Linked DNA regions of Arabidopsis thaliana. The protein of the gene in region 1 purifies or fractionates together with the protein of each later gene. This does not show direct contact. Each region holds a gene or a part of one and is shown in the gene's direction. Other genes may lie near its edges.

Region 1 (8,328 bases):
ATAATCCTCAAGATATATATCTTACAAGAATTTTTCTTATGAAAGTTTTTTTTTATGTAATAGATTGTTCCCTATTGTCCATACTTTATCATGACGACACACCCTACAACCATACGCATTTTTATTTTCCAATCTCTACTTTCCCATATGAAGAAATCAAGAATGAGATAAATCATATAGTTGACACACTATTGGAACGAATATAAAAATGAAATTAAAATAGAGGATCTATATATAACGTAAGCATGTAAAAAGTTATGACATAATTTAATTGAGAAAAAGGTCGAAAAAGGAGCTGACCTGCAGACGTAATCTGTCGACAAATATCAATCTATATATATTGAGTCTTTGATCACCACATGTGGTCCTAAATTTCGAACCAACGCATAGAAATGAATTAGAAAGTATAGCATATAGCAACCTTTGGCCGCTCCAAACGATCATGCTTTACTTTTTTGATTGTGTCCTATTACCTAAAGATGCTTTTACTATATAATTGAGTTTTACAATTATTAAGTGAATACCGACAAGCGACACAAGCAAATTAAAGTATAAGAATTTTATATGAGAAACTAATTTGACTTTTGTTGTACGTAGCACACAAGACCATGATGCACCAAGAAAAAGAAAAAAAAAACAGAGTGAAACTTGAATCGTTATCCATCAATATTAGTTATTTGTTTCAACTAATGGAGGATCTAAAGGCACATAATACGTCATACCACTTGAAATTTAGTGGAGACTGAAAACTTAAGCATTACGTTTTGATGTTTGTACCAAACTACCAATAGTGTTGTTATAAAATGAGAGTATGCATCTTTAATGTAGATGTGTTGGCATATTTGAAAGCGTTTTTTCAACACTTTCCAGAGATCCAATTTCATTCGGATTCTATGATTCTTGATTTCGTCCGATTACTTATTCGAAAAGAATTTTGTGAAACAAATGTATCGTAAAATTTAATCCCAAAATTTGTTGAATGCTATATGGAATCTAAAACACATGATGTGAAACCAAAGTGTACATCTCATGGCTCAAAATGGTTTGCATAAGCAAAAATCATCTTTTTGACTAAGTTAGTGGAGCCTTTATGAGCCACTCCTTAAACTTTTAAATCGAGCTTATATATTATAAGCAATGCTTACACATGTTAAGGAACCATTGGTTAACATAGTTCAAAAAATTTACTAGACAAAGAATAAAAATAAAGAATTTTATGTATTGGCCACATAGAGTTATTGTTTGTCTCCCATTGCTTTTGTTGACGCATGACATCCACATGAAAATATCATTCTCATCCAAAACTGTTGTCTCACTCACATATCATCCAAGCAAACTATAACTTTCACAAAGGAGATGTCAATTTACATGAAAAAGGCTTTTATTTAAGGTGAAGTGCGGATAAGAATAGTGATTCAAACGAACAAACACAGTCATGGATCGATCTATTCCATTACTAGAACAAGGATCTTTAATTATAACCCATTCAATCTAAAGTTATTATTAGCCAACACAGTAGTCAAAAAATAGGGAAGATAAAGCAACATTCAGTTTCCTATACACACAAAATTTTACTAGATAACAAGAGTCGATCGACAATAACATGGACAAACGTACATCTACAAGTGGGACAATGAACGATTTGAATCATACGTACATATACACCCATTGTAATTCACGACTGAAAGAAATGGGACAAAGAATCTCTAGGCAACACTATCTCCCAACAGCAAACAAATTACTATTTCCGAGAAGAACAAAAAATGTGACTCACACTCACTTAAGGTTTTGAAATTACAAGATTTTAGAAATTGGAATGGACATGTATATGTATTGTCGGTGTGTTGTCTTATAACCTCTTAATGGGAATCGGATTCAAAACAAACCCTCTCATTCCACGTTTGTCAAGCACGTGCTTCTTCAAGAATTTGAAATTTTGGTTTAACGGTACACTCGATTTGATCAGAACGAGACAATTAATTACAATTAAATACAAATTTAGTTACTGTCGGTAGTTTTTTTTTTCCGAATGCTTCCTGTCGCATATATTGTTTTGGTTCTATGAACTCTTATTAGCATATACCAGAATCTGTTGAACCATACAAATTTACTATATTTTCTCGGTGACTCTCTATATAGCAGCAAACCATTAGCGAGACTAGATTATGAACCTTCTAAACATTAACTAAAATACTCAGTTTCAAGCCCAATCAATATCAATATATAGCCCGCAGATGCCGATCAAATGGGCCTGTCCAACGGCCCATTAATAAAACGGGGGTTAAAAATGTAAATACAAGAAGATAGATGTTTGGTGAGTCCTAAAAATCGTAAACCAGATTTCCAAATTTCTCTCCGTCTCATCTTTGTCTCGGTCTCTCTCTCGAGTGTGTGTGTGTCTAAAGGCAAAGAGAGAGATTTGAGAAAACTGAATTACAAAAAAAAAAAAAAAAGACAACGAAAAAAAAGACATCAAATTTGCGAAAGTTGAAATCGAAAACGGTGAATACAAGTTCCCGCCATGGTGGCTCAGCAGCTCCAAGAGAGATGCGGCGGCACTTCTCAAGAAGATCCAGTTGAGACCACCAAGTCTCTGATCTGTGCTCTCAATTACATTTCTCGTGACCTTCCTTTGCCTCCTCACCTCTTCACCGCCGTTTCTTCAATCTACCATGGCGCTTCTTCTTCTTCTCTCTCTGACTCCGATGTCTCTCCGCCGCTACCTACTTCGCCGCCTGTAATTCACTCTCGAGCCCTTCTCCAGCCTCACCCTAGATTTTGATGTTTGCCCCTTTTTGTGTTTTGTGCTTTGTTTGGGAGGTTTTGAATCGATTTATGTGGTCCTGTGATTTGTTTTTGTAGCTTTGCTTTCGAGTTTATGTTCAAAGTTTTCTCCTTTTTCGAGTTTCTATGGAAATTAGATATCTTCAGTGGCTTGTTTTGTCGAATTACAGTCTAAAGGTTTTTGCTTTAATCTGTGGTTTGGTCTCTTTGTTGTTTTTGCAGGCGAATAAAGCTCCCTATGGAGCTGATTTGATGGGTGAATTCGAGGATGCACTTTTGAAGCAGAGACCAGATTGTGAATCAGGCTCTCGATTGATACAATTACTGGATAATCGGAATAAGAGTCATATCCAACGCCGCTTATCTGAACTTGAAGGTTATTATCGTGTTTATTACTCCTAAGTTGCACTTCAATCCATTCTCAAGTTTTGATTTTGTTATGCTTGGCAACAGTTTTTTTGTTACTGGAGAACTATTGTCAATTATGTTACTAAAACCCTTTATTCTTCAAGGGGGATGCTTTGTGCTTACTCTTTGTGTTTTTGAATCAGAATTACCTTCTACTAGAGGTGAAGATTTGCAGGCAAAGTGCTTACTTGAGCTTTATGGGCTTAAGGTATCATCGTTGCTAGATGTTCTCATTGATCGTTGTTGTTATGTTACATTGTTTGAATTGTTATATCTTTGACATTGACACTTTACCTGGTGAGTTACAGCTACGGGAATTGCAAGGCAAGGTTCGAACCGCGGTGAGCTCGGAATTCTGGCTACGTCTGAACTGTGCAGATGTCAGTAGCCAAGTATTTGACTGGGGCATGATGCGGTTGCCTCGTCCATTTTATGGGGTTGGAGATCCTTTTGCTATGGAAGCTGATGATCAGTTCAGAAAGAAGCGTGACGCTGAGGTGATTTACCTTTTATTCAGCTAGCATATTCTGGTGCAACTTTTTTAGTTCCTGGATTTTATTTTAACCTATGATAATGAAGTTTCCTGATGAGATAAGGCCCCTTTTGAACTATGGCTCATATATCTTAGCAGTACAACTAGACATGTGTATAAATATATCACTAGATTCTGCTTTGTTGGAACTCATTTAGATGGATTTAATAGAATTGAAATGAAAAGTGTACACAATTTCTAGTTGTTATGACATGATTTTATTTTATAGCTTTCAATCTTCGTGATTGGCATTGCTGATGTGTTAAAAGTCTTTGTTCAGAGGTTATCACGTTTAGAAGAAGAGGAGAAGAATCTGATTGAAACTGCCAAGAGGAAATTCTTTGCAGAAGTACTCAATGCAGTACGTGAATTCCAGTTGCAAATTCAGGCGACTCAAAAACGCCGTAGGCAAAGGAATGATGGTGTGCAGGTATGATAGAGTTTACTTACGCGGTTATTGTGATAGTAGTTCCAGTTATCTTTTAATATTACCAATCAATATACAAACATCTAAAATTTATTTTGTGTGTACATTATTCGAACAGGCTTGGCATGGGAGACAAAGACAACGCGCTACCCGTGCTGAAAAGTTGAGGCTCATGGCCCTTAAGTCCGATGATCAAGAGGCATACATGAAACTAGTAAAGGAGAGTAAAAATGAAAGACTAACCACTCTTTTAGAGGAGACAAACAAACTCCTTGCTAATTTGGGAGCTGCTGTTCAACGTCAGAAAGATGCTAAACTTCCGGAAGGCATTGATCTACTTAAAGACTCAGAATCTGACTTGTCTGAACTTGATGCTCCAAGAAGTGAACCATTGCAGGATCTGCTTCCTGATCAGGATATAGATATTACTGAGTCTGACAATAACGATGACTCTAATGATTTACTAGAAGGACAGAGGCAGTATAACTCGGCTATCCATTCAATACAAGAGAAGGTAACGTTGATCTCTATATACTTAGTAGCTGTATGGTGAACTGTTTAAACCACTGCCATCTCAGAGACCAGGGAATTTAAAATAGCAATATATACTTTTAACAGGTGACGGAGCAGCCCTCGCTTCTAGAAGGTGGGGAACTACGATCCTATCAATTAGAAGGGCTTCAATGGATGGTTTCTCTATTCAACAATAACCTCAATGGAATATTAGCTGATGAGATGGGTTTGGGAAAAACTATTCAAACAATTTCTCTGATTGCGTATCTTCTGGAGAATAAAGGTGTGCCTGGGCCTTATCTTATAGTTGCTCCAAAAGCTGTGCTACCAAATTGGGTAAACGAGTTTGCAACATGGGTACCAAGGTATGTTGCAAACAATATTTCTCTTGGTACTGAGAAATTGCACTGGTATGAATGTTATGTCTGAAAATCAGCCTTTTTGTTTTTTTGACAGCATTGCAGCTTTTCTGTATGATGGACGTTTAGAGGAAAGGAAAGCAATAAGGGAAAAAATTGCAGGAGAAGGAAAATTTAATGTGTTGATAACCCATTATGATCTTATCATGAGAGATAAAGCATTTTTAAAGAAAATTGAGTGGTACTACATGATTGTTGATGAAGGACATCGGCTGAAGAACCACGAATCTGCTCTAGCAAAGACTTTATTAACAGGGTACATCTCTATATTCATCTGTCTGAAGTGAATGATGTTGGCTAACTATTATGTTTCTAACAAAAATTTATCCGGGATGCAGCTATCGTATAAAACGCAGACTTCTGTTGACCGGGACACCCATACAGAATAGCCTTCAAGAACTATGGTCATTGCTTAATTTTCTCCTTCCTCACATCTTTAACTCGGTTCAGAACTTCGAGGAATGGTTTAATGCTCCTTTCGCTGACCGTGGTAATGTCAGTCTCACGGATGAAGAGGAGCTCTTGATTATTCACCGCCTGCATCATGTGGGTTCTCTAGCTGTCTTTCCTTAAATTTCTTATCAAAATTTGTATGCACTGTTTTAATGTAATTCACTCTGTCACTTTCAGGTTATAAGGCCGTTTATACTGAGAAGGAAAAAGGACGAAGTAGAGAAATTCCTTCCTGGAAAGACACAGGTCATATTGAAGTGTGATATGTCGGCGTGGCAGAAAGTGTATTACAAACAAGTTACAGACATGGGCAGGGTTGGCCTTCAAACAGGTTTGTAGCTTAACTCACGTATACTCTCTCCCTAATGTTGCACTCATCTTTGAGGTAAGAGAAAATGAATCAGAAAGAGGAGCTGATTTTATGCAAACGTAATCACCATGTGCAGGATCTGGGAAATCAAAGAGTCTGCAAAATCTAACGATGCAATTAAGAAAGTGTTGTAACCATCCTTATCTATTTGTTGGAGGAGACTACAATATGTGGAAGAAACCTGAGATTGTGAGAGCTTCAGGGAAATTTGAACTCCTTGATCGTCTCCTTCCAAAACTGCGCAAGGCTGGACATAGGATTCTTCTCTTCTCCCAAATGACCCGTCTCATTGACGTTCTTGAGATATACTTGACACTTAATGATTACAAATACCTTAGACTCGATGGTACCACAAAGACAGATCAAAGAGGGCTTTTACTGAAGCAATTCAACGAGCCAGATTCTCCCTACTTTATGTTTCTTTTGAGCACGCGTGCTGGAGGTCTCGGTTTGAACTTGCAAACTGCAGACACTGTTATTATCTTTGACAGTGATTGGAACCCACAAATGGACCAACAGGCCGAGGATCGAGCTCATCGCATAGGGCAGAAGAAGGAAGTCAGAGTGTTTGTTTTGGTTAGCGTTGGCTCTGTTGAAGAAGTAATATTGGAGCGTGCAAAGCAAAAGATGGGCATTGACGCCAAAGTCATACAAGCTGGACTTTTCAACACAACTTCCACTGGTATGTCTGTCCGAAAGAACAATATGAGGGCTTCTGCTTTCTATATCGATATGGTAATCTCTTGATGTGGTTTTTGTGATTATATCAACAGCACAAGACAGAAGAGAGATGCTTGAAGAGATTATGCGTAAAGGAACAAGCTCGCTCGGGACAGATGTCCCCAGTGAGAGAGAAATAAACCGGCTAGCGGCTCGTAGTGAGGATGAATTTTGGATGTTTGAGCGAATGGATGAGGAGAGACGAAGGAAGGAGAATTACAGAGCCCGTCTGATGCAAGAGCAAGAAGTCCCTGAGTGGGCGTACACTACTCAGACCCAAGAGGAGAAGTTGAACAACGGAAAGTTCCATTTTGGTAGTGTCACAGGTAAGCGAAAACGTAAAGAGATTGTTTACAGCGACACACTAAGCGAGTTACAGTGGCTGAAAGCCGTGGAGAGCGGTGAAGACCTGTCAAAACTCTCAATGAGATATAATAGGAGAGAGGAGAACGCAAGCAACACAAAGACATCAACGAGCAAAAAAGTGATAGAATCTATCCAAACTGTGAGTGATGGGACGAGCGAGGAGGATGAAGAAGAGCAAGAAGAAGAAAGAGCGAAGGAGATGAGTGGAAAACAGAGAGTGGACAAGTCTGAAGAGGAAGAAGAAGAAGGTGAAGAAGAGAATGATGGAAAGGCAATATTCAAGTGGAATACTCATAAGAAGAAAAGGTCTAGATACTCTTTTACGTGTTCTTCGTCTGACTCTAGAGCTCAAAGTTCCAATGGAAGTAGACGAAAATGAAGAAGGTGAGGTGAGATCTGAGTTTGACTTTGGTCTCTTCTTCTACGTGTTTGTGTGTCTTCTTGCCAATGTAACTTATCCCAATCTAACATGTAATAGTAATACATGTATTTTAATTGGTCTCTGGTTAAGTTTAGCTTTTTGTTGTTGTTTTAAGGTACTACTACCAATGTATATGTTTCTTATGTAGAATGATTTATTCGGGATTGAAAAACCCTTTTCACCTAAAAGAAAACATACAGCATGTAATAATTTGTTCAGAAGATCTAAGAGACCAATTCATTTTTTGAGCTACTCTAAATGTGCCCTTGCCAAAATAGCATCCAAACCACTGTCTATGAGTACAATACAAACTAATAAAAGATAAATACACTCACAAATTCATCTTCATCATTCTCTCTTAAATCATCATCATCATCCACATTATATACGTTCTTATCCAAAGGTCCAAGTAACTTTGGACAATTCGTGAATATCACTTTGATTTCCTCAATGCCTTTAAGAGAGATCATATTTCCATCAATGTTCAACATCTTGAAACTTCCTTTCTTGACAACAACACGAGCCAAGCGCAATGCTCCTTCTCTTCTCAAGTCATTGTAGCTCATATCAACATATTCTAACTCCCAATCTTCCATACTCTTTACAATCTCAACACATCCCTCATCTTTTAGATCATTTTCAGACAAATTCAACTTTTTCAGATGTCTCTTTGCTGCCAAACAAACTGCGATAGCTGTAGCCGCCTCATAAGTTATGTTATTTCCAGCCATTTCTATAACTTGAAGAGATGGAGCGGAGTTCTTGAGAGCGTTTACTAAAGCTATAGCACCTCCATTCTCTAGATTTGTATAACTTAGATTAATTACAGTCAAGAAACTGAAGCTTGAAAATGGTTTGCTCATAGAAACTCCAACTTTTATATGAGTACAAGTCTCGAATGCAGTCTCCTCTATA
Region 2 (4,249 bases), on another chromosome or scaffold:
GATGCTATCTGACTGTTTCAGGTCTCTATACTAGTCAGATACGTGGGAGTGCATATTCACTTATCGTTCTATATTCTTTTATATTCATTCTCCTTTCTTATGCAGATATGGAATGAACACTTCACAATGTCGGGCCAAAATACTTGTGGAGTACTTTGGGGAGGAATTTAGTTCCAAAAAGTGTAACTCGTAAGTCCTATCCTTTTATCTAAAACCCATCAAGTCAAACTACCAAATAGTTGTAAAACCTTTCCAATCTATGAAACAGATGTGATGTTTGCACTGAAGGGCCTCCGGAGCTAGTAGATGTACGAGAGGAAGCTAATCTTTTGTTTCAAGTAATCACTGCTTTTCATGTAAGCCATTTGATTAATCCCAGAACTTCATTTAAAAGTTTGCTTGTTTCGTATGAGTGATATACAATCAAACATATTTCTATTTAGTATTTGAGATTTCGTCTACTACTGTATAACCTTTCTTTCTGAAACTTAAGCCGCTAGTATATTAGTTGCAGGTAGACAATGACTCTGAGCATGCACCATATGAAGATTATGGACTCGGCAACAGCAAACAAAATAAATTATCCCACAAGCCAAATCTTCTGTTCTTCATCAGTAAACTCAGGGAACAGGTAAATCTTCTGTTTCAACAAATTACATAGTGCATTATGTTCTTGATGATATTAATGTGATGCCTTTGGTTAGTGTAGTGTGAAAAATTCAAGGAAACAGATTGTCTTTGGTGGAAAGGTCTTGCCCGTATCATGGAAGCCGAAGGATACATCAAAGAGATGGATAACAAGGTACACTAGTAACCAAAAAACCAACCTTTCTTATGATCCATTTATCGGTAAAGGCGTAAAGCTACGATCACATATTCGGTTAAAACCATGTTACTGATCTGTGTTGCAGGATCGTCGAGTTGAGATTAAATTCATACAACCAACAGAAAAAGGGAAGAAACAACTAGATTTCCAAGATGACAAACCACTCTATGTTTATCCAGAAGCCGACATGCTACTTTCGTTGAAACAAGATAGAACATACAGTGGATTCTCTGAATGGGGAAAAGGATGGGCAGATCCAGAGATCCGGCGCCAGCGGTTAGAGAGAAGAGAAAGAAAGCCTCGAAGAGAAAGGAAACCCCGAAAAAAACGAACACGAGGACGTTCTTCGACGAAGTTACATCCATGGAGAAGCAAAGAATAAGAATCTCAACCCTCTTTAAGTAATGAATCCACTTTATATTCTTTTACCAAACCCATTATTCCATTCATGGATCTTTATGGAAGCATAATACTTCTTTCTACAATTGCTATATCAGGCTCCTTCTTTGCTCTGAGTCCCATCTTGAGGCATAGATACCGCGCCATCGAGAAGCTGAGGCTTGTAAACGAGGCTTTGGTAACGGCGGAAGAGAACGTAACAAGGCTTCAAGAACGTCATGATGTGATTCTCAAAGAGATATGTTCTTATTATCTCGTTAACACCGAGCTCCATGAAGCTTTGGTTTCATCTCGTGCAGCCATTAATGATGCTTCTTCATTTGTCATGGAGCTTAGAAGATTACAGTTGAATATCTTAAACTCTCTTTCTTAATCACATTTTTTGTACTTATTACACTAATTAAAACCAGAGTTTGGGTAATAATTTTTGTTTCCTTAATTTTCCGAATTATCCGCTAATTTTCTACTCTAATTCTCTGGATATTTTAAATAATAGTAATAATCTGCTGTCAAAATAAGATAAGAAAAAGACATAAAGCTGATTATCTTGTAGAACGTGTGGGGAATGAATCTAACGGCTGATATCACTCAAGTGTTCTTTTCCACCTTCCTTTTACAACACCCACGTGTAATGTCATACAAAGAAGTCATTACGACCGTTAGATCAAAGCCAACAAGATCCAATCTTAACGGCTAAGATAAATTACTACACGGATCGCCAACGTGGCAATACGTGGTATATACATACACGTCGTTCTTTCCTCATTTTAAGCAAATCGTAAACCGCCACAAAACCGAAAAAAACACTAATTGTGCTTTCCCTTTAGATTCATTTGTATTTTCTTTTGGAGCTTTTGAACAATGGAGTCATCACAAGCAACGACGAAGCCAACGAGAGGAGCAGGAGGAAGGAAAGGTGGAGATAGGAAGAAGAGTGTTAGTAAATCTGTTAAAGCTGGTCTTCAATTTCCCGTTGGTCGTATCGCTCGTTACTTGAAGAAAGGTCGGTACGCTCTCCGATACGGTTCCGGTGCTCCGGTTTACCTCGCCGCCGTTCTCGAATACCTAGCCGCCGAGGTATATTCAATCTCAGATCTCGTTGCATTTTGAATCGATTTATTTTGTGTATCTATTAGATCTGTTTAATTTTGAAGTTCTAATGAATTGAACCGGTTTGGTTTAGGTACTTGAGCTAGCTGGGAACGCAGCGAGAGATAATAAGAAGAACAGGATAAACCCTAGGCATCTATGTTTAGCGATAAGGAACGATGAGGAATTGGGGAGATTGCTTCATGGAGTTACTATTGCTAGTGGTGGTGTTCTTCCAAACATTAATCCAGTTCTTCTTCCTAAGAAATCAACAGCTTCTTCTTCTCAAGCGGAGAAAGCTTCTGCTACCAAATCTCCTAAGAAGGCTTGATAAAGAATAGTATCGATGTTGCTTTTTGGTTATATTCGGATCTTAGATGAAGAAGAAGAAGAAGAAGAAACAACTTGTTTTTTGTTTTAGAGGATTTGTGTAGGTATCTGAAATCTTCTTCTCTTTGTTTTGGTTTGTCTTATGTAAAAACCATGGGAAGATGATTATGTTTGTTAACGCAATTTGTAATGGAAAATAATTAAGTTCTGGGATTAGTAACTTCATCTGTCTAATTAATTTCTGGGTTTCGTACTTGTTGATTTAAACAATTTAGGTGGATTAATTGAAATGGTTTTGGTATACACATGGAAAGATTCAGTACAGTTAATGACATTAATTAAAGTAGATAATAATCACGAAAAACATGACATTAATTAAGAAAATGATTGTTCAAATTGGGCTTTGTTTGGGCTTAGTTGATAGGCCCGTTAGAATTTATGTTCTTGGTTCATCTACGAGATTCTGGAAAAGGGGTTTTGGTTTTCCGGTGGGGTTTAGAATTTAAACAAGACGCGATTTCGAATTTCGTTCTTGTAGAATCAAATTGTTTGGTTTCAATCTTGGATTTGCGATGATGAATTTTCTGGTTCGATTCTTCTCTGCGATTGTTCAATTTCTTGTTTAATTTGGTTAAAATTTCACTGACTCATTTGTTTTTTTCTGGGTTTAGAGAAGAGCTGTATCATCTTCTAAAAGAAGCGAGCTTATTCGCATCATTTCTGTTGCTACTGCTACTTCTGGAATTTTATATGCTAGTACTAATCCAGATGCAAGTAAGTTACTATTACCAAGAACCATCTTCTTCATTATGCGTTGTATTTGTCTCTCTTGGTGTTGTGGTTTAATGTGATATGTATTCTAGGAACTCGAGTATCGCTTGCTATACCTGAATCTGTTCGAGAATCTTTGTCGTTACTGCCTTGGCAGATTTCACCGGGTTTGATTCATCGTCCTGAGCAAAGCTTATTCGGTTCGTAGCAAAATTTTCTGATATCTGAATATGATCAATGCCAAATTTACTCTAGAGGTGCAAGTTGCAACTTTGGAATGTCTGTTTCTGTGTATATGATATAGGAAATTTCGTGTTTTCTTCGAGAGTTAGTCCGAAATCAGAAGCACCTATAAATGATGAGAAGGGAGTTTCTGTTGAAGCTTCGGATAGTAGTTCGAAACCAAGTAATGGCTACTTAGGGAGAGATACTATAGCCAATGCGGCTGCTAGAATTGGACCAGCGGTTGTCAATCTTTCGGTTCCTCAGGGTTAGCTTCTTTCTTGTTTTTATCTTTCTTTTGATTTCACTTTAGAATTCACAGTGGTGGTTTGGTGATCTTGTGAATGTTGTAGGTTTCCATGGGATATCTATGGGGAAAAGTATCGGTTCTGGAACGATCATTGATGCTGATGGCACGATACTGACTTGCGCTCATGTTGTAGTTGATTTTCAGAACATTCGTCATTCTTCTAAAGGGAGGGTATGACTAAAACATCAAATATGTTTACTCATACAATCTTGCAAAGGATCTTGGAATAACTTTTGTCTTTGGAATACATATGGTTAATTATAAGATTGGTTTCTTCTACGGATTTATCTTTGATGGAATCT
Region 3 (5,227 bases), 1.5 Mb from region 1:
ATTTGGAAATTTGGTATAAATATTTATATTCAATGTATATGTATAGGTTAATTATGGAATTATTTTCATATTGCAAAATATACAATATTTTGTGCTCTGATCATTTGTTGATTTTTTGCATAATTGTTTTTTGTAGTCATCAACTGTTTCATGTGTTCCTTTTCTGACAGAATTATAATTATATATATGTAATATATATGTAGGGAATGAAGGTTGCTCACCTAATCTTAAAATGATTAACTGACCAAAGAAAATGCAACTCTTGTATGAAACCTACTTAAAATTTCTATTGTTTTTTGTTTTTCTATTTGTTAAGCAATTGTCATGGGCAGAAACTGGAACTAACCCTTTGACCAACATTTCCTACGTAAATTCTTTAGGGTATCCATTCAAATATCCTTATCTTTCGTCTAATGGTTTACCGGTGGAAACAAGCTTTAAATTTCCTAGTCCTTTGCCTAGTATGCCTTCCGATGGTGGAAATTTTGGCAAAAGAAGCATTGATATGGGAGGTCTTGAGGTTACTCAAATCTCTATCTCAAACTCAACATCACACAGAGTGTGGAGAACTTATGAAGGAGGGCCGGATAACATGGGAGTCAGCATCTTTGAACCAACTACTATTCCTCGTAATTTCTTCAAACTTGGCTTCTATGCACAACCTAACAACCGACAGCTTTTTGGTTGGATTCTTGTTGCAAAAGACGTATCGGGAAGTAATTTAAGACCACCAGTCGACTACACTGAAGTTGGAAACACTACAACATTGCTTATCAAACAAGAGGGGCCTGCATATTTTTGGCAGCCCCTATGTCCTAATGGATATCATGCGGTTGGTCTATATGTCACTACTTCTCCTATGAAGCCCTCTTTGGGACAAAATTCTATAAGCTGTGTTCGATCTGATCTCACAGAACAGAGTGAAGCCGATACATGGGTATGGAGGATAAAAGATATGACTATTTCTAGTTTGAGACCGGCCACGAGAGGAGTAGAGGCGACAGGTGTGTTCACAGGGACATTCAGCTGCAAACAACTAAACTTTCTTCCTCATCCCCCTCCTTTATTCTGCTTAAAAAATACAAAATTTGACTTGTCAAGCATGCCAAGCGAAAATCAAACTAGAGTTTTGTTTAAAACGTATTCTCCTTGGATATATTTACACCCAAAAGAAGATTTCCTTCCTTCCTCTGTCAATTGGGTTTTCGCTAACGGTGCCTTGCTACACAAGAAAGGAAACGAATCCATCCCGGTCCCGATACATCCAAATGGTTCAAACCTTCCACAAGGAGGTTGCAATGATGACTTGTTTTGGTTAGATTATCTAGTCGATAAAAAGGCTAGAGAAAAGGTTAAGAGGGGAGATTTAGAGAGCACTAAGGTGTATCTACACATCAAACCAATGTTTGGAGCTACTTTCACAGATATTGTAGTATGGCTATTCTTTCCCTATAACGGAAATGCACATTTAAAATTTTTGTTTATCAAGAGCCTGTCGCTAGGAAATATTGGCGAGCATGTTGGAGACTGGGAACACGTTACATTACGCATCAGCAACTTCAATGGTGAGTTATGGCGTGTTTACTTTTCTGAACACAGTGGAGGAACTTTAGTGGATGCATGCGATCTAGAGTTCATGCAAGGTGGAAACAAACCAGTAGTATATTCGTCTCTTCATGGGCATGCAATGTTCTCCAAACCTGGAGTCGTGTTGCAAGGTGGCGGCAAAAGTGGAATAAGGAACGACATGGCAAGAAGCGACAAATGCTTTGACGCAGGTATTGGATATGAAGTGATTGCGGGACCTGGCGTGGTTGAGCCACCGTGGCTGAATTATTTTAGGAAATGGGGACCTCGAGTCCATTACAGGATTGACATATTTCTCAACTCTGTCGCAAAGATTTTGCCCATCTTTTTACGGAAAGGTTTGCGAAAACTCATCAACAAAATTCCTTTAGAAATGCGGGGTCAAGATGGTCCAACTGGTCCCAAAGTTAAGGTGACTTGGACCGGTGATGAACAATATTCTTAGTGTTTTATTGTGAATTATTGCATTATGTTATATATCAATAAGGTTTACATTTGTCGAAAATAATCATTGTAATTTCTAATTAGTAACAATAATACTATAGAATCTGTTAAGAATTAAGATGTAGATGTGCTAATTAAAAATTTTAGAGTTATTTGGGAAAAAAAAAGGTTGTCATGATCTTAGTTTTAGAGTTAAAAAATAGTATTTATCTGGAAATAAATTGGTGTAGATTATTAAGAGTTTTTTTAAAAATAATTTGGATTAGATTTAATTTGATTTTTTACCTATAGTCATGGAATTAGATTTATTGCCGAGAAGCAATATTGATCCATCTAAATATGGACCCACGAACCATGGCCGTTGGGCCTTTAACTAATGGTTGGGTTTTGACCCGGTTGAAGAATTCAGGTGGGCATTGATAGGTCCGCCGTGTCTTTTTTTTTTTTTTTTTTTCGAAGAAGAATCATCTTCATCTTCTTCTTCCAGAGGGAATTGAATTTGTTTTCTTTCTCCTGGAGTTGAGATTATACGCTTTCTGCTGTATTGAAGAAGAAGAAGTTGTGTCCTATATCTTACTATTTAGATTTGGGGGGAAATTGATTAGGGCTCTATCCTCGCGCAGCACTAAATTAGGGTTACGTTCGGCTTAGAAAGGGCAAAATTCGATAGAGTGTGTGTGTTGTGATTTTGATGAGGTTCTTCTAGCCAAAATTACTGAGTAACTACTGTCGACACCAATTTGGGATTGTATTCAATTTTTTGTGATCAGCAATGTCTGGGAATAACGAGTTGAACGCACTAAAAGGGCCTCAAAGCTCTCTGCCTTGGCCATTTGGAATGGCCTCTGCATCGTTTGCTCCCTCCCACATGGCCCCTCCTAACTTTCAACCTCAGTTTCAGCTCTCTCAAGACCAAGGGATTAGTGCTCCTGGAAGAAGGTTCCCACATAAACCTCCCATTGGAGGACCTCCTGCTGTTCCTCCTAGTATGGAGTTGACTCCAGCTTCCAGGAAAAAGAAACATAAGCTTCCAGACAAGTCCTCCTTGCAGGAGCGCGTTGCTGCCGTCTTGCCCGAGTCTGCTCTCTACACACAGCTTCTTGAGTTTGAGTCTCGGGTTGATGCCGCTCTCTTCAGAAAGAAAGTTGACATCCAAGACTCCCTTAAGAACCCTCCTTCCATTCAGAAGACCCTTAGGATCTACGTTTTCAACACCTTTTCCAACCAGATCCCTGGTCCTGACCCTCCCACATGGACTCTTAGGATTTTCGGCAGGGTCCTGGATCCTGACCACACTGGTGGATTAGTTCAGAATTCAAACCCACTTTATCCCAAGTTCTCGTCTTTCTTCAAAACGTTAAAGATATCCCTGGACCAGAGCCTGTATCCTGAGAACCATCTGATCGAATGGAAAAGGGATCGATCGCCTGCTCCTCTGGAAGGGTTTGAGATAAAGAGGATAGGGTGTCAGGAGTTTGCAGCTACTATACTGTTGGAGATGAATTACGTCCCTGAGAAGTTCAAGACTTCTCCTGCTTTGATGCAAGTTTTGGGCATTGAGGTTGACACTCGCCCAAGAATCATTGCGGCAATCTGGCATTACGTGAAAGTCAGGAAACTGCAAAACCCAAACGACCCTTCTTTCTTCAACTGTGATGCTGCTCTCCACAGTGTTTTTGGGGAAGAGAAGATGAAATTCACTATGCTCTCTCATAAGATATCTCAGCACCTATCACCTCCGCCTCCCATTCAGCTTGTACACAAGATCAAGCTTTCGGGGAACAATCCAGCCATCTCAGCATGTTACGATGTGCTTGTGGACATACCAGCACCGGTCCAAACGGAGCTTTCCAATCTGCTCGCTAATCCAGAGAAGAACAAAGAGATTGAGGCATGTGATGAAGCCATATGCGGAGCCATAAGGAAAATCCACGAGCACAGAAGGAGACGGGCGTTTTTCTTAGGGTTTAGCCAGTCACCGGTGGAATTCACCAATGCCTTGATGGAATCTCAGACCAAAGATCTGAAGCTTGTTGCAGGAGAAGCAAGTCGAAACGCTGAGAAAGAAGGCCGATCAGAGTTCTTCAATCAGCCATGGTAATAATCTCTACTGTTCTGCTTTTCATCACTTGTCTTACAATCACTGAGAATTCTCTTGCAGGGTGGAGGATGCTGCAATACGTTACTTGAACCGGAAGCCAGCAGGCGGGTAAGATGCAGATGGGCCAAGAAGTTCATGAGTTCACTACTTTTACCTAGAAGTCACTTAGGTCCAGGACACTTGATCAGTGTCGTTCCTTATAGGTTTTTTTTCTAAGTGAAACATTGTTACTCAAGTTTCAAGAGTTTTTACTTTGGTTTGTAGCTCGTGCATCATATGCGACAAAATATAAGAAAGATAAATACTTGACTTTTTCACTTTCTTTTGTAGATTCCACGTACTGACTTCCAATTGGCTCGATCTAGTCTTGTAGAATAATAATAACGTACGTATTATTATGGATAGAAAAAGACCAAGGCATTGTGCTCTCACGTTGAACTTTTAATATAGTCATCATCCCAAGATGATAACAAATGCAAAATGGGTCATTTTCAAACAAAAATATAATAACTGAGCTAATATTGGTTGAATTTTCTTCAAAACTCAAAAATTTAGTAGAGACTTTATGACTTGGATTGAAAAAAAAAAAAAAAAAGTTGAGTTGTTTACCCAAAGGAGAAAATAATTTTGGGTATGAATGATCATAGAGACGTTTTACATAAAATAAAAAGCCATGATAATTGACTTTGTTTGTATATTCAAGGGGAAAGAGAAGGATCTCTCCGATGAACGCGGACTTGCATCCCACCAGCCATGTGAGCCGTGAGCATTGGCACAAAATCCGGTTTATCCGTAGGGATCGGTTCAATCTCAAACCGGTCAAGTATGGAAGCCACAATATACTTCATCTGCACGTACGCCATCTCTTCCCCAAGACAAACCCTTGGGCCGGCTTGGAAAACCGGAAACTTGAACGGATTCACCTTTTTCAAAACTCTGCAGCAGGTTTTATCATAAGACTCAGCCCACCGGTTTGGTTTAAACTCATCCCAATCTTCCCCCCATAGCTCTTCCATTCTCCCCATACCATATGGAAAATACGTTACCCGGTCTCCGGCACGCACCAACGTACCGTCTGGTAACCGGTCATCGGTT
Region 4 (5,559 bases), 6.4 Mb from region 1:
GGTTCAATCGCAACTCTAAGAGTGGGAGACACCTGAAACTCCATGCTGGCTAAGGGCCAACAGTTTCTAGTAGATGAGAGTGTTGCGCTTTTTGATATATATGGTCCAAGCCCTCTTATGGCCACTACATTTCCGGCTTTCACCTCTGTTACTGGTGTTAAACCTTGCCCCATCATAAGATATAGGGAATGCAGTTCTGCTTCCTGAATGTACTTGTGAGACGATTCCCCCTTGAGGGGATCATATAGGGCGGTAATTACAAAGACTCTTTGCCCAGCCCGAAGTACCCCGCTAAAGATCCTAGCAAATGCAAGGAAGCACTCATCTGACTCGCTTTTACTGTCATCATCATTTAAACCGTTCATCCTCTCTCTGTGATTTCCATCTTGAGGAATCATTTTCATTGGAATAGCAAACATTTTCGACACAAACACAACACAAGGACTGTCACTGCTAGAATCACAAGCCTCGATTGATTTTCTAACAAGCTCTGCTTCTGCCAGGACACTTGAATCAACATCATCACCACCAATAATTTTCCTTTCTGGAACCAAGCGTGGGATTCTATATGCCTGTGCTGCAATGGGGTCTGGCAGATGTTTCACAGCCATAGACAAGACTGCATCAGACAGAGGAAGCCAACGGCTCATCACCGATTGAAGCACGTTTTTTGGATCCTTGTTCTGAAGTTCGCGTGGTGGAATAGACAAATTGAAAGATTTGATAACTTTCTCAAGAACGGCTTTATCCCCACCAGGATCTAGTGCAGCTTCATAAACCTGCCACAAAGGCTCAAGCACAAACTGCACAAACATTGGTTTCGCCTTGCTTCCAGCACTTAAATTCTTCTTCCCTACTATCATCTTAGTCTTAGGAATATAATAACGAGGACCCCATAACGATTTCTGCAACGCAGTCGCACTAGCTCCAAGCTTGGAGGCATAAAAATTAGCAAACTCCGCAATCCCAAAACCCCACCCGTCTAAAGCACACACGAATACTACATTACCTTTCTGAGGCTGAAAAGTAACTTCTTCATCATCCTCCAACAACTCAAGACTCTCAGCAGACAACTCCCCTGAAGGACTAGCAAGTATAGAATCAACATCCGACAAATACTTCTCTGACTTATACGCACTCACAATCCCGTTAACCTCATGAACAATCCTAATCAAACGAGTATACGCCTCCATAGGACTCAACCTCAACTCAAAAATCAACCTATCAATCTTATTAAGCACCAAACAAGGAGTCAACTTCTCTATCCAAGCTTGACGCAACACAGCATGCGTTTGAATATGAACTCCCTCAACAGCATCAACCAAAACCAACGCACCGTCACTTAACCGAGCAGCTGTTGAGACTTCACTACAGAAATCCATATGACCAGGAGAATCAATCAGGTTCAAAGAATAGTCTTTATATTTAAGAGAAATCGAAGAGCTCTTCATCGTGATTGCACGTCTCTGTTCTTCATCTAGATAGTCCATGAACCTAAGCTTCCCGGCAAGTCTCGGGTGAAGAACACCGCCACCGGAAGAAGCAATTAGGTGATCGGCGAGAGTCGTCTTACCGTGGTCTACATGTGCTAGTATACATATGTTCCTAACTTTCCTACCTTCAGATTCATCCATCTCTTCAATTTACAAAACACACAGCTACCTGCAGATTCAATATATACAAGGATTACATTATCAGAATCGATGCGATTCAAATTAGTAGAGAAAACTTCAACAAAACATAATCCAAATCCTAAAACCTTGTGTGAGAGCTCACGAATTTTTGAATCGAATCCACAGAGTTGTGCACGTCTCGTAAGAATCAAAGAGAGATAAAAACGAGAGAGATGCTCTTTGAAGATTCCATAATATTTTAAAAAGTTCGATTCAAAAATTGAGTGATATGTAAAAAAATCACCTTAATCAGTTGATGGAGCTCAGACGTTTGAAGAAGAATGGTGCGAAACTTGCTTCGGCGGCGAAACAACGGCGGCGCAGGGTTTGGCGATTTCCCTCTGCAAGTTTGTCTGTATAAACATATACAAGAAGACGTGAACGTTTTTGATTTTAATTAAACCGGAACCCTGTAAACCAGAGAGACGGTTTAGTGCTCTCTTTTAACAATTTTAATTATAGTCTCGGACTCTTCAACCGGAATAAACCGGTCTAAAACGTTTTTAATTTCAATTGTACCGAAACCCTCTGACTCACAAAAAGTGTTTAGTGCTCTTTAAACAATTTTAATTTTTAAATCGTCTTGGGACTTTTAAACCGGAATAAATCTTTCGGGTCAAAATTTCCGAACCCTAACTTTAGCCCCAAATTAGAGAGAGATGCAGAAACGGGAGCTTGGGAAATCCGGCGGTAATTCCGGTGGATCTTCGGGTCCACCAGCGAAGAGAGGCCGTCCCTTCGGTAGTACAAGTGCTAACTCAGCTGCTGCTGCTGCAGCGGCGGCAGCAGCGGACGCGATGTCACCGTCAGCTTTACTTGGTCCTTCTCTTCTAGTTCACAATTCCTTCGTCGGTAAGCTCGCAATGACCACTCTATAATTCCTCTCTGTTTTCTTCTTGTGAACGAGTTTTTAATCGGTAATTTTCATTGGGATCATTGGAATTTATAGAGCAGAACAATAGAAGAATAGTTCTTGCGTTGCAGAGTGGTTTGAAGAGTGAGGTGACATGGGCATTGAACACACTTACGTTGCTTTCCTTCAAGGAAAAAGAAGATATTCGAAGAGATGTCATGCCTCTTGCTAAGATAGCTGGCTTGCTTGATGCCCTTCTCTTAATTGTGAGTTTATTTAATTGTTTAGGTGTTGGGATTGTGTTTTCCTCTCTGTTCTTTGAACCAACATGATGCTAAAACTTTGGCAGATAGATGATTGGCGTGACATAGCTCTCCCAAAGGACCTGACAAGAGGAACTAGAGTTAGAACTTTAGGTACAAATGCTTCAGTTACGGGATTTGGCAATGAGTATGATGCTCTAGCCTCTATTCAACCCCCTGGGTGAGCTAATTTCGATACTGCTTTGATTACAGTTTTAAATGATTGTTGCTTATATTTAGAATTAGAACCTAAGTGTTGTTAATATTTGGCCTAGCAGATCCGGGATTGGTTCTTCTGCTGCTGAGGCATTAGGAAAAAAGAGCACTGGTAAACATCAGTCATCTCAGTGGTGGATGGAAGAGGATGGTTTGTTTAATCTAGACGATGAAGGGAGATCAGAGAAACAAATGTGTGCTATTGCTGCATCGAACGTTATCCGCAACTTCTCCTTCATGCCTGATAATGAAGTTGTAATGGCTCAGCATCGCCATTGCTTAGAAACTGTTTTCCAGTGCATACACGATCATATGACCGGTAAGGAAGAATACTAATGTTTTGATACATACAATCCCAACCTTTTTGTTTCTTTTACTAGTTATAATTCCTTACATTTGCTTCTGATAGATTCTTATTTCTTATTGGTTTGAATTGGCTTGAATGTATTCTCTCTGTTTCCTTATTTGCTTGATACTTGATTGGGAACTATGGTCTTAAGACAATCTTTTGTTAACAGAGGATGAAGAGCTGGTCACAAACTCGCTAGAGACAATTGTAAACCTAGCGCATTTGATGGATCTTCGAATTTTCAGCTCGCTTAAGCAGTCATACATCAACATAAAGTGAGAAGTTGTATCTCCCTGCATTCTTAGTTACACAATCCATAACTTGTTTCAAATACCAATGTGAATCATTCATTACTCTTGTGCATATAGTGAAAAGAAAGCTGTTCAAGCTGTGGTCGGAATCCTCAATTCTTCTGTCAAAGCTTGGAATTGTGCTGCTGCTGAGTTGCTAGGGCGTTTGATAATCAATCCGGACAATGAACCTTTCATTAGTCCTTTAATTCCGCAGGTTTGTTAACTTCTATAATCTTCATATGGTTTCTGGCTACTTACTCGTTTTAACTAGTATTTAAACCCAACAATGGACCTATCCCTTGCAGATACACAAGCGACTAATCGATCTTTTGAGCATACAAGCCGTTGATGCACAAGCTGCAGCTGTTGGAGCACTCTACAATCTCGTGGAAGTTAACATGGATTGCAGATTAAAGCTAGCAAGTGAGAGATGGTAAACAAAAACTATACTCCCTCTCTATCGAATACAATCAAACTGTTTTTAGATCGCAACAATGACACACCATTATGATCTTTTTCAGGGCGGTTGATAGGTTGCTGAAAGTGATAAAGACTCCGCATCCGGTTCCAGAAGTATGTAGGAAAGCTGCAATGATCCTTGAGAACCTTGTCTCGGAGCCTCAAAACAGAGGATTGCTACTCGCGTATGAGAATGCTTTCGCTGAGCTGCTTTTTCAAGAGGGTAAGTATTCTGATTCATTTGCTAGGATTTTGTATGAACTCACTGCTAGATCTAATAGCAGAGTTGCTTCAGCTAGAGGAATCTGGGGCATGTAAAAGTCTTCTCTAGATTAGTGGGTTTGATTAATTGATTGTGTTGTAAACTTTAATCATTTGCTATGTATTAAAAAAGCAGTGTTGTTGAACAAAAAGTAGATGGATTCTTCTCTCGCATAGCTTCGACATGTGTTTTGTTTGATCTTTACTAAAAACAAATTTGAGATATTTTGTGATTCAAATTGAAAATAAAATAACCCAAATAATCACGTTTTGACGTTAGAATAGTGTATTGGTTAATCATATTCATATACTATACAATAAACTAACAAGAATTAAGTCACACATAATACAGTGTTTTGTCTTTACATTTTTTGTTATTATTACTCTTTCTTCAAAATCAATGTGTCTTTTCTTGTAGACGAGGAGACGTTTTCTCTTGTTATACATTTTTATTTGGATTCGGTTCGTATAGTAGAACATAATTATATTTTGAACAACCATAACCATTAACCACCTAATTAACCCATAAATTGTGACCAACAACTTTCTACAACGCGAACTAGAGCATTTCTACAAACGTTAATTGCGTATTCCACATATATTTTGCTAAACTTGAATTTCGTGAAGATTTTAGTAACCTTCTTCTTTGGTATATTATGGAGTTGAAAGAATATATAACCGTTGCTTTAAACACACATACCTGTATTTCGAGACAACTCATCTCAAAACTAAACTCTAAAATCAAGTTATTGCAATCTTTCTTTCTTTATGTTCATACAAGATAGTGGTTAACTGATTCACACACTAAACATTTGGTAGAAAAATATCAGAACAATAAGAAGAATATATTTGGAAAATGGTTTGATTGGTGATATAAAATTAGTTAGTGGTTAAAGATGAATGTATAGATAGAAGTGATAAGAGATGGCTTTGAATCTTTCTTTTTGTTTCTGCTAATTTGATGGATATTCAAGCGGTATATTTTGTATCGATCAAATTCTTTATGCTATTGAGATATCTTTAACTTGGAGCGCATTATTGAAACTTTCTTGTATATAATGATTTTTTTACCTTGTTGTATAATATATGTTCATTATATAGTATGAGTAAAGTTGAAGGAGGGAGATTTTATTTAACATGTCTATTAAGAAAA

What was found.
Region 2: the proteins of ATCHR12 (region 1) and HTA7 fractionate together in Arabidopsis thaliana (co-fractionation; one large-scale study listed by BioGRID). This does not show direct contact.
Region 3: the proteins of ATCHR12 (region 1) and AT3G01890 fractionate together in Arabidopsis thaliana (co-fractionation; one large-scale study listed by BioGRID). This does not show direct contact.
Region 4: the proteins of ATCHR12 (region 1) and LFR fractionate together in Arabidopsis thaliana (co-fractionation; one large-scale study listed by BioGRID). This does not show direct contact.

What each region holds. Positions count from the first base shown.
Region 1 is NC_003074.8:1,801,478-1,809,805, reverse strand, and holds ATCHR12 (SNF2/Brahma-type chromatin-remodeling protein CHR12), read left to right. Parts: upstream 1-2,275; 5' UTR 2,276-2,521; coding exon 2,522-2,737; intron 2,738-3,006; coding exon 3,007-3,160; intron 3,161-3,335; coding exon 3,336-3,400; intron 3,401-3,500; coding exon 3,501-3,689; intron 3,690-4,004; coding exon 4,005-4,154; intron 4,155-4,269; coding exon 4,270-4,665; intron 4,666-4,769; coding exon 4,770-5,029; intron 5,030-5,120; coding exon 5,121-5,339; intron 5,340-5,421; coding exon 5,422-5,629; intron 5,630-5,713; coding exon 5,714-5,867; intron 5,868-5,982; coding exon 5,983-6,588; intron 6,589-6,679; coding exon 6,680-7,371; 3' UTR 7,372-7,665; downstream 7,666-8,328. Other genes in the region: AT3G06000 (RNI-like superfamily protein), read right to left, coding at 7,725-8,328. UniProt on the Arabidopsis thaliana protein: Probable chromatin-remodeling factor that is functionally redundant with CHR23 in root and shoot stem cell initiation, and root apical meristem (RAM) and shoot apical meristem (SAM) maintenance.
Region 2 is NC_003076.8:9,791,203-9,795,451, reverse strand, and holds HTA7 (histone H2A 7), read left to right. Parts: upstream 1-1,891; 5' UTR 1,892-2,086; coding exon 2,087-2,302; intron 2,303-2,408; coding exon 2,409-2,645; 3' UTR 2,646-2,943; downstream 2,944-4,249. Other genes in the region: RECQSIM (RECQ helicase SIM), read left to right, coding at 1-21, 106-189, 269-356, 509-631, 710-802, 912-1,208; DEG14 (Trypsin family protein with PDZ domain-containing protein), read left to right, coding at 3,217-3,231, 3,316-3,418, 3,508-3,615, 3,720-3,905, 3,991-4,118.
Region 3 is NC_003074.8:307,529-312,755, forward strand, and holds AT3G01890 (SWIB/MDM2 domain superfamily protein), read left to right. Parts: upstream 1-2,478; 5' UTR 2,479-2,803; coding exon 2,804-4,128; intron 4,129-4,192; coding exon 4,193-4,244; 3' UTR 4,245-4,545; downstream 4,546-5,227. Other genes in the region: AT3G01880 (vacuolar sorting-associated protein (DUF946)), read left to right, coding at 254-2,032; CYP94B2 (cytochrome P450, family 94, subfamily B, polypeptide 2), read right to left, coding at 4,831-5,227.
Region 4 is NC_003074.8:8,161,683-8,167,241, forward strand, and holds LFR (ARM repeat superfamily protein), read left to right. Parts: upstream 1-2,258; 5' UTR 2,259-2,332; coding exon 2,333-2,525; intron 2,526-2,622; coding exon 2,623-2,792; intron 2,793-2,875; coding exon 2,876-3,009; intron 3,010-3,106; coding exon 3,107-3,363; intron 3,364-3,562; coding exon 3,563-3,668; intron 3,669-3,761; coding exon 3,762-3,900; intron 3,901-3,991; coding exon 3,992-4,119; intron 4,120-4,207; coding exon 4,208-4,463; 3' UTR 4,464-4,668; downstream 4,669-5,559. Other genes in the region: AT3G22980 (Ribosomal protein S5/Elongation factor G/III/V family protein), read right to left, coding at 1-1,634. UniProt on the Arabidopsis thaliana protein: Involved in leaf and flower development. Plays roles in leaf development partly by associating with AS2 and repressing KNAT1/BP transcription. Required for the formation of anther cell layers and normal expression of genes that regulates anther development.